2 linked regions of the Oryzias latipes genome follow. The protein of the gene in region 2 purifies or fractionates together with the protein of the main gene of each other region. This does not show direct contact. Links are inferred from orthologs where the notes say so. Each region holds a gene or a part of one and is shown on either strand. Other genes may lie near its edges. The genes, in order: alkbh8 and trmt112.

Region 1 (4,249 bases), on a different chromosome or scaffold from region 2:
AAGGTCCAGGGCTTCCTTTTTCCTACCTACACCTTCATCCAACTCATTAAGATAATCAGAATTCAGGGCAGAAAATTAAAAAAGAATGCAAAATTCTCACCACTATATATCTCCAACAAAAGGCAGACAATCAAAAAGACAATTGGATGTCCTTTTTAAAAAGGATCTGATTTAAGTGATCTTTGTTAGCTGAAGAGAAAATCAAGTGCTAACTTATTTGAGTGTTCGTTAAGGTTTTTACAAAATCAGAGAATCAAGTTTAGTTTTATAGCTGAATTGGTTAAAACACACAAAAATAACTGTGCACTTGAATCTTTCTAAATCTTCACAAAAAAGCTAGAAGTACTAACAACTTTCTAACTAATGCCCAATCATTTATGGAGGATTCAAAATAACTCAGAATAAGTATTTCCTGTATTATCATTGTATGCAAGATGAAATTATGATGCTCCTGAGATGTTAAAAAGAATGTATAAAAGCCACGATTAGAAATAAAAATAAATTGTAAATGTTACATTTATAATTTATTTTTATTTCTAATCGTGGCTTTTATACATTGTAAAAAAAATCTAAAATACATAAAATATATAATGCATATAAATAACCATATAAACGTCATGTCACATGTTGATTTAGAGTAAGTAATTTTTTATTATTATTTTTTTCTTTATGAACAAAATATTACATTTTTTTGACTGCCTACATTTAAAAAAAAAGCAGCTTTGGCCACGATGATACTCCCCTGTGTGTTTTTCAAACTAAAACTTTTCAAAAATGTTAAATTAAAATTAAGACATGAAGGGCTCCAACAACCGACAGTCTCTGTTTGATGTTGAGCTGTTTGAGTCCCTAAAAGGAAAACACCAACATGCAGCCTGGTCTGGTTCAAAAAGACTGCAAAACTGCTCATCTAAGTAATTAGACTCATAAAAGCCAGACATTTCAAGTCAGAATTTAAGTTAACAGAATTTAAGTGAAGTAGTACTTCTTTTATTAAGTATACTTGTTTAGCAAGTTTACTATAGACCATGTAGGAGTAGTGTAGGAAGTATACCAACTGAATACTTCTTCAGACTAAATAGGAACATTTTTAAGTTTACACTAAATTACATAAAAATTTAAATTAAAGTATACTACTTCACGCTTAAATAGACTACTTTTTGCTGAGGGGAAAAAAATGAAGTATGATCAGTGTTTTCAATAACTAGAAAATATGTTAACTCCTACGTTTGTGGTACTGAGTTTGTTTAATGCGTAACATAAAGTAATACTTTTTGGACAAAAGTAAGTAACATGTAAGTTTATATTTCTTGAAAGTAACTGGAACAAAAATTCTTTAAAAAAAATCTTTTTTAACACAACAATGTAAATCCCAGACGTCTTCAGGCCTTTTTATATGTAATACGTCATCATCCGGAACCTTATTCTTCCAATGCGTGCGTCGCACGGACACTTTTAGTGGACGGGACCATGAAGTCCGATCTGTCAACAGAGAGCAGAAAAAGTAAAGAGGAAAAGAAAGTGTTACGAAAACAGCTTAAAGCCAGTCACACTCTTTTAAAGCATGAAGGCGTCTGTACAACACCGCAACCAACCAAGGTAAGCTAAAGATAACTTCAATCAAAGCGGATATAAAAAAACGTTTCTGATCCACCTGTCGTGTCAGTCTATCGTAAACATAGTTTGTTTTTGTTTAGTGTCTATATTTTTTTAAACGTTGCTCCGTATAAATTGTGCAGAGTTTGGTGATCGCAAACGGCGGTCTGGGGAATGGCGTCAGTCGAGAGGAGCTGACTGCAGTGCTGCAGGAGATGGGAGAGGTGGAGAAGTTGTTGATGCCTCCACACAAACCCTACGCCTTTGTCACCTTCAGGTACACTCAACATCCCTCTCAGAGGAAACATGCCCCCCTACCTGCCAGTCAGAAGAAACCTTCTGTCTCTAGGTTTCTTTAAAAGTCACATGCATCATAAGAGCAAGTATTTTTACATGTTTCTAAAGTAAAAGGGGTTCATTTTAAAACGATAACATTTGTAATAAATAATATATACAGTATCGATGCAAATAATTTAAAAATAGATTTAATATTCAAGATAATTTATGAAATTGAAACCTAGAAAAAAATATTTCATAATCGTATTTCTGATCATATTTTTTGACTTTTTTTTTATTTGGCTTTCAACAAAATCAATTTCCTTCATTTATGTATTAAGATGTTTAATTTGGTTTTAGATACAAGCATTCAATTCTTACGGAACTGAATATTATACATCTTCTACTATGATATTATTTTTTTAACTGATTCTCAGTCATTCTTAAGAATTACTAATTTACTGTGTAAATGTCTTCAAAAATAGGAAAGTAAGAACGCTATAAAACTCGTAGATTGTTTATCTGTTTATGTAAACTATAGCACTTTTTTTCTTGTCACATTTTCTTTTCATTTTGTTGGTTTTTATAACTTAAAATGTATTAATTTGGGTCTTTTTTCCACTGCATTTGGATTCATTTGTTTTTTGGGAGGTAATAATGGTTGCCATATAGTTTGGGATTTTGAACGACTACATGTTCTGTGACTGGATTTGTCAATAAAGGAAAAAAAAACCATGAGCCAAATGAAAACGGGAGGCCATGCAAAAGCAGCTCCAGAATAAATTCTAGGCAAGAAAGTCAGGCAGGTGTTCCAGAGGCAAACACAACCAATTTACAGAAACACCTGTCAATTTGGAAAATGACAACAAAAGAAGAAAAAAAAATGAAAATACGAACAACAAGCTTGAGATGTTTGATTGACTTACAAGAAGAGAGAGACATTCTTAAGCCTTAGACAACCTCACAAATCATGCTCTTATTTTGTAGTAATGGGTCTGTGAACTGGGTTATTAACCGTAATCGTCACACAATGTTATAACTCATTTGAACTGACTGTAAGATTGTGTATGTGTCTGCATGGTTGAAGTTATCATTGCGTTTGTATGTTGCTAGTAAATTAAAATAAAGGTGGAAATTGTGTTTTATTTTATAAAATGAGTGGGATTCTTTAATAAAATTATTTTATATCACCAAATACTTTAGAAAAAGTATTTGTGCAGGTACTCCAGAAAAACTAAGCAGTCTGATTCAGTGTTATTAACCTTTTTCCCACTTAAAAAAGCAAAAGTCTATTTCTGAAATCTACCTGTTCATAGTTTTGTAATGCTGCAGATGCAGTTGGAGGAGCACCAAACTGCTGTTAAACGTTAGCTGCATCCTCGTTTGGAGCATGGAACTGTGGGCACAGATGTTGGTGTTGACCTCAGACTCTCATCCTGTTTCCAGATCTGAAGATGGCGCTCGGAAAGCTCACGCCAACCTTAATGGGTGGAAGTTGCAGTGTGGCGAGAGCAGCATCACACTGTACCTCAGTTACGTCGACTCAGGTGCTTGTCCCTTAAACAGCCTCTTAAAACCACCTTAAAAATTCCTCTTCATCATAACTATTTGTTCTACTCTCCATGTCCATCCACAGTAAAGTGTAAAGAGGGAGCATCTGTCCCTCTGCCAGAAGGTTTGGCCTTGGTGGAACATTTTGTGTCTCCAGAGGAAGAAGCACAGCTGCTCAATGTGATTGACTGGTCACCCACTCAAGGTGACGTCACTGGTAAACATATGTCCTTTTTTACTGTGAAAATGTTCCTAATCTCCTGTTTTTCCTGTGAAATGATTCACTTTTTACGTGTGCTTTTGAGCTTCAAGTATTGTACTAGAATGTAATTGGTTGACCTCTTATACTTGTTTATTTTTTTAATTAAAAGATAAAATCTGTTTGCACTTTCGTTTCTCTTTATGGATAAAGTTACAAATGTTTTTCAGCTCAAAAGTCCTTGAAACACAGACGAGTGAAACATTACGGTTTTGAATTTCGCTATGACATCAACAACGTGGACAAAGACAAACCGTTAGCTGCAGGTACAACTGCTATTTATTTGACAAAAACACTGTTTATTTCAGAGAAATTTCACAGATTAAAACCAGAGATTTATTGGGATTTTCACCGTTTTTATGGTGTGTGTTTGTGTTCATGTGTATGTGTCTCCAGGCCTTCCAGATGAGTGTGTACCCATTCTGCAGCGTTGTGTGGAGCAGGGACACACTAACGTCCTTCCTGATCAGCTGACTGTGAACCAGTATGAGTCTGGACAGGGTGAGTGACAGCAGTTTGATGATGTTACACACATTTTCTAAAAAAAATGGTAATGTTCAGATGTTA
Region 2 (4,136 bases):
TCTTTCATTAAAGCACTTGAAAACCAGCCCGACCTAATTTATCTTTCACTTTTTATTCTTTTACTTTTTGTTGTTCCTCTTTGGTCTCATTGTTAATTACAGCTTTACACTTAGGGACGACTATTAATCTACCAGGGGTGGCTTTTATTGCTGCTCTGCTGCCATACCATTATACCGTTATTATAGCTGCGGGTGCAGGCCTGTAATTGCTCTAAGTAGAAGGAAAAGGTAGGAAACACTCAGGCTGCCTCCAGGCTTCTGGTCAAACCCCCCTCCTCCCACCCCCTTTCATCACTGGTTCTGGCAGAGTTTCTAAAAATGATAACTGCAAGCAAACAGACTTTTGTTCCACCCCTGCTGCAGAACGTGGAGAAAACACTTAATTTATCAGCATGGACCAAACCACAATCTGTCCTCAAGCTTAAGAGTAATCAGACACACCATGGTGCATCTCAAATCACTGGATCCCACCCAGACTGGGTGAAAAGAAAAGCTGTAATGTGTGGCTTTAAGAAAAAAAAAAAAAAAAAAAAAACTTCCTCCAAAACAACTTCCACCCTGCCTGCCTCCTTCTGCTTAAAGCCAAATGCAGGCAGCCTGCAGCCACGTCATCAGGCTCAGAGAGGACCGATTCAGTTCAGAGCCCACCTCTTTGGCTCGCCTGCAGCACAAACAGCTCCTTTTTTTTTTTTTTTTTTTTAAATGGAAAAAAAACACCACAGATTGCAGCTGTGAGGAAAATCTGGACAGTTTTATTAAGAAAAACAAGTTATAAAAATAAATACAGATAAAATCAAAAAGGGTTCACTTTGTTCAAACATTTCCAGATGGGTTTTTTCAGCATCTCTTTGGGTATCTGACACTTGAAATGCTAAAAGCACTATCAACTAATAACAGAGTGGTCTGTTTCTCTGCACACAGTCTTAACGGGGGGAAAGGTTTGGTCTGCAGATACAGAGATCTTAGGCATCATCCTCGTTCAGCAGCATGTTGGGGATTCCTTTGGTGATCGGGAACTCCCGTCCTGATTCAGGACACTTTAGACATCCCTCCATCACCTCCACCTGTGAGGCGGAGCGGAGAACAAAGGAAAAATGTAGCTGTAATTTAGAAACTACAACCAGTAGGCCACAAGCTCCCTGCTATACTCCATTCTGAAGCATCCACTTGCAGACGAACAGATCCATGTACTTCTTTATCCTCGTCTGAGCTGGAATCTGCCTCAAAGCTGGATAGTGTCAATATTGCTCACTATAGGTTTGGGTTGTGAGGGACTGTAAACTAGTGTGTAAGTGTAAAAACAGATGGATAATAGGAAGTGGGGGTAGGCTTACTCTGCACCAACAGCCCCCCCCACACACACACACAATTTAAGTGGTGAATTTCTAATGAACTCCTGCCGTTCTGCAGAAACTATGTTCTAGAAAACTACAGGTTTATTAATTTTGCTGAAAAATGGCACAATTATAATTAAACGGACACTGTGAACGCTTTAAAATAGATTAAGAGATAAACCGAGTTGGACTTTAAATAGGTTGTTTTGTTTAATGTGACATGCATGAAGCAGGCTCATCTGTCAAAAGCATAAAGCAGGTAACTCTGGGAGAAAGTGAGACACGTTCAGTAGATCAGTGTTTTTCAACCTTTTTTGAGCCACGGCACACTTTTTTTGAGCCCCCCCCCCCCGCAATCTCACGTGCATTTTTGCCGGAAGAGCAGGAAGTTGCGGCTGTTTTTTTCTAAGAGATGAAATGAAAGTTATATTAGAAAATTAAGAAACTGTTTGTTTGTTGTGGTTTCAAGACGTTTCACAAGGACAACTCGTTGTGCGCTGGGACACTGGCCCTTTAAGCCAATGCATCATGGGAGATGTAGTGTGAAAACTGCCGAAAAATTGCAGAAAGACTCGTGTCTCTGAGCTTCATTGTTTTGTTCACTTGTTCCACGGTCTGACACCGGACTCTGTGGAAAGCTACACCGCTAAAGACGAGCTTTAGCTGGTACTTTTGTTAGAACTGAGCGACTTTATCAGCAGAATTAAGAACAAGGAAGTGAAGACTTTAAGCACTTCTGATTGGTCAGACTGATGACATGTGATTAAGCCTTCAAGAATGATTGGCGGAGACAGTTAAATGGGCGGGACTTTTCCGCAAACTGTCATAGCTGCAGGTAAATCGCAGTACAGTCATTCTTATCAAAATGTCTTTAATAGAATTAAATAAACACAAAGAAAAAGTAATTTTAAGATCTTTTATATTCCTAACTACTCAGTGTTTTATCAGGGCCTGTTTGGATGAAAAAAGAGCTGATTTCCTGGAGATGAAAAATGTTTTTAGATCAGTTAATGAGGGCAATTTCCTACGGCACACTGGTTGAAATACACTGCAGTAGATTACCCTCTTTCATCGTCACTACTGGCTTTGATGCTGCTTAGACTTCAGACCAGACGGTGTTTACAGTTTTGCAGCGCAGAAGGAAAAGTAGAGGACAGTCAGCATAACTGCTGACTGATCAGGTTTGTTCAGTCAATCAGAAACTGGGCTCCTTCAATCCAGCTAATCACAAATACTGAAGCAGGGGTTAGCTGCGAAACAAGCAGGGCAATAGCTCACTGGGATCAGGTTTAGAGACTCCTAGGGGGTATTCCAGAAAGCATTTTTAAACTACCCTGACTTTAACCCTGAACTCTGGCTGAAATCCGCCTGAACTTGCTTACAGTACTCTGGGTATGTGGGTTCCAAAAGACCGAATATGAGTTACGCTCGACTTGGTTAATGCACGTGCACGGCAAGTACATAAAGACATTGTCAATGGATCGCCGATTTCCGGAGTCACAAAAGAGAGCGCTGTACTTTAGTGAGGCCGAGTCTGAGATTTTAATGACGGCGTATGAAGATTATAAGACCATCAAAAAAGTAACACGGCTGCATCATCAGCAAAAGAAAGTTTCTGCTTGGAGAAAAAGAACGGACAAAGTAAATGCACGAGTTTCTATCTCATTTCTATTTTCATTGTGACGCAAAATGCTCTTAAGGGAAATATATATATATTTATGTCTATCCAACTCAACAATTGTTTATAAAACTAAAATATACAAATAAAATTTACATATTTATCTAACTAAATGTCATAATAATCGAATTCAATTAAATGTTTTTCCATCTTAATTTCTTGTACTTCTGGAACTCTCATATGTCTAAGTTCGAGGCTGCAGATATTTTCATTTTTATAACATTGAAATAATTGATACAGTGTGGACTTGAAAATTACGACATCTAATCATTTATCATGACTCTGACTTTAACTTAACGTTTTGACACAAGTCAGCACTGCTTGTGCTAAATAAGCTACATAACCTCATCATCCTCTCCCTCTCTCTCACTCGTGTTGCAGAAAGAATTAAACATAACACGCATAAGAGGATAAAATAACTCGGCAAAACACAGTAAAACAGCTAAACAACTAAACACATTTGGTCAAAAACCCACACTTAAACCTAAATCCGTCCAGACAGACAAAGGGAATGGTTTCCCACAATTCCTTGCGGTGCCGATCTAACAGCAGCACCAAAGTTACACTTACTTAATTGAATTAATTTGAATGAAAGTAACATAACTGTCTGAAAACTATGTGTTATTTTTAAGTGAACTGAACTCAAAAAATGATTTATCTTAGCTGAAGCAAATAATTAAGTTAGATCAAAGTAAAAGTTTATATTTCCAACATCCATATGTGGTCTTATCACCCTCTCATGGTGGAAAAAGTATTATTATCTAAATCATCTTCAAATGGACACGGCATGCTGCTTCACCTCTCTGAAAACAAACTAACCTTCAACTAAACCTGCTCCAGACCAGGCTATGTTCAGCGCATGAGTTGCTATGGCAACTTGACCCTGAAACATACCTCCATTTTTGGAACCGAAAGCTGAGGTTATCAACTTCCTTAGCCTCAAAATTATCGTGGTAACTCACATAACCTGCTTTCTGGAATACCCCCCTGACTCTGCAGTCTGTCACATACCTCCAACAGCACTCTGTGTACTTTCTTCAGGAACTCTTCATTTTGCTCGTAATCTGCAATAAGTTCACCAGGCAGGTCCTGTCGATAACCCAACTATAAGAGGGAGAAAGAGG

What was found.
Region 1: the proteins of trmt112 (region 2) and alkbh8 purify together in Homo sapiens (co-immunoprecipitation; 3 studies listed by IntAct, with this or other methods). This does not show direct contact. The link is inferred for Oryzias latipes from reciprocal best matches to the Homo sapiens genes TRMT112 and ALKBH8.

What each region holds. Positions count from the first base shown.
Region 1 is NC_019871.2:20,772,605-20,776,853, forward strand, and holds the start of alkbh8 (alkylated DNA repair protein alkB homolog 8), read left to right. Parts: upstream 1-1,442; 5' UTR 1,443-1,470; coding exon 1,471-1,599; intron 1,600-1,739; coding exon 1,740-1,873; intron 1,874-3,318; coding exon 3,319-3,419; intron 3,420-3,508; coding exon 3,509-3,640; intron 3,641-3,852; coding exon 3,853-3,948; intron 3,949-4,078; coding exon 4,079-4,183; intron 4,184-4,249.
Region 2 is NC_019868.2:11,958,173-11,962,308, forward strand, and holds the end of trmt112 (multifunctional methyltransferase subunit TRM112-like protein), read right to left. Parts: intron 4,117-4,136; coding exon 4,024-4,116; intron 1,065-4,023; coding exon 963-1,064; 3' UTR 726-962; downstream 1-725. UniProt on the Homo sapiens protein: Acts as an activator of both rRNA/tRNA and protein methyltransferases. Together with methyltransferase BUD23, methylates the N(7) position of a guanine in 18S rRNA.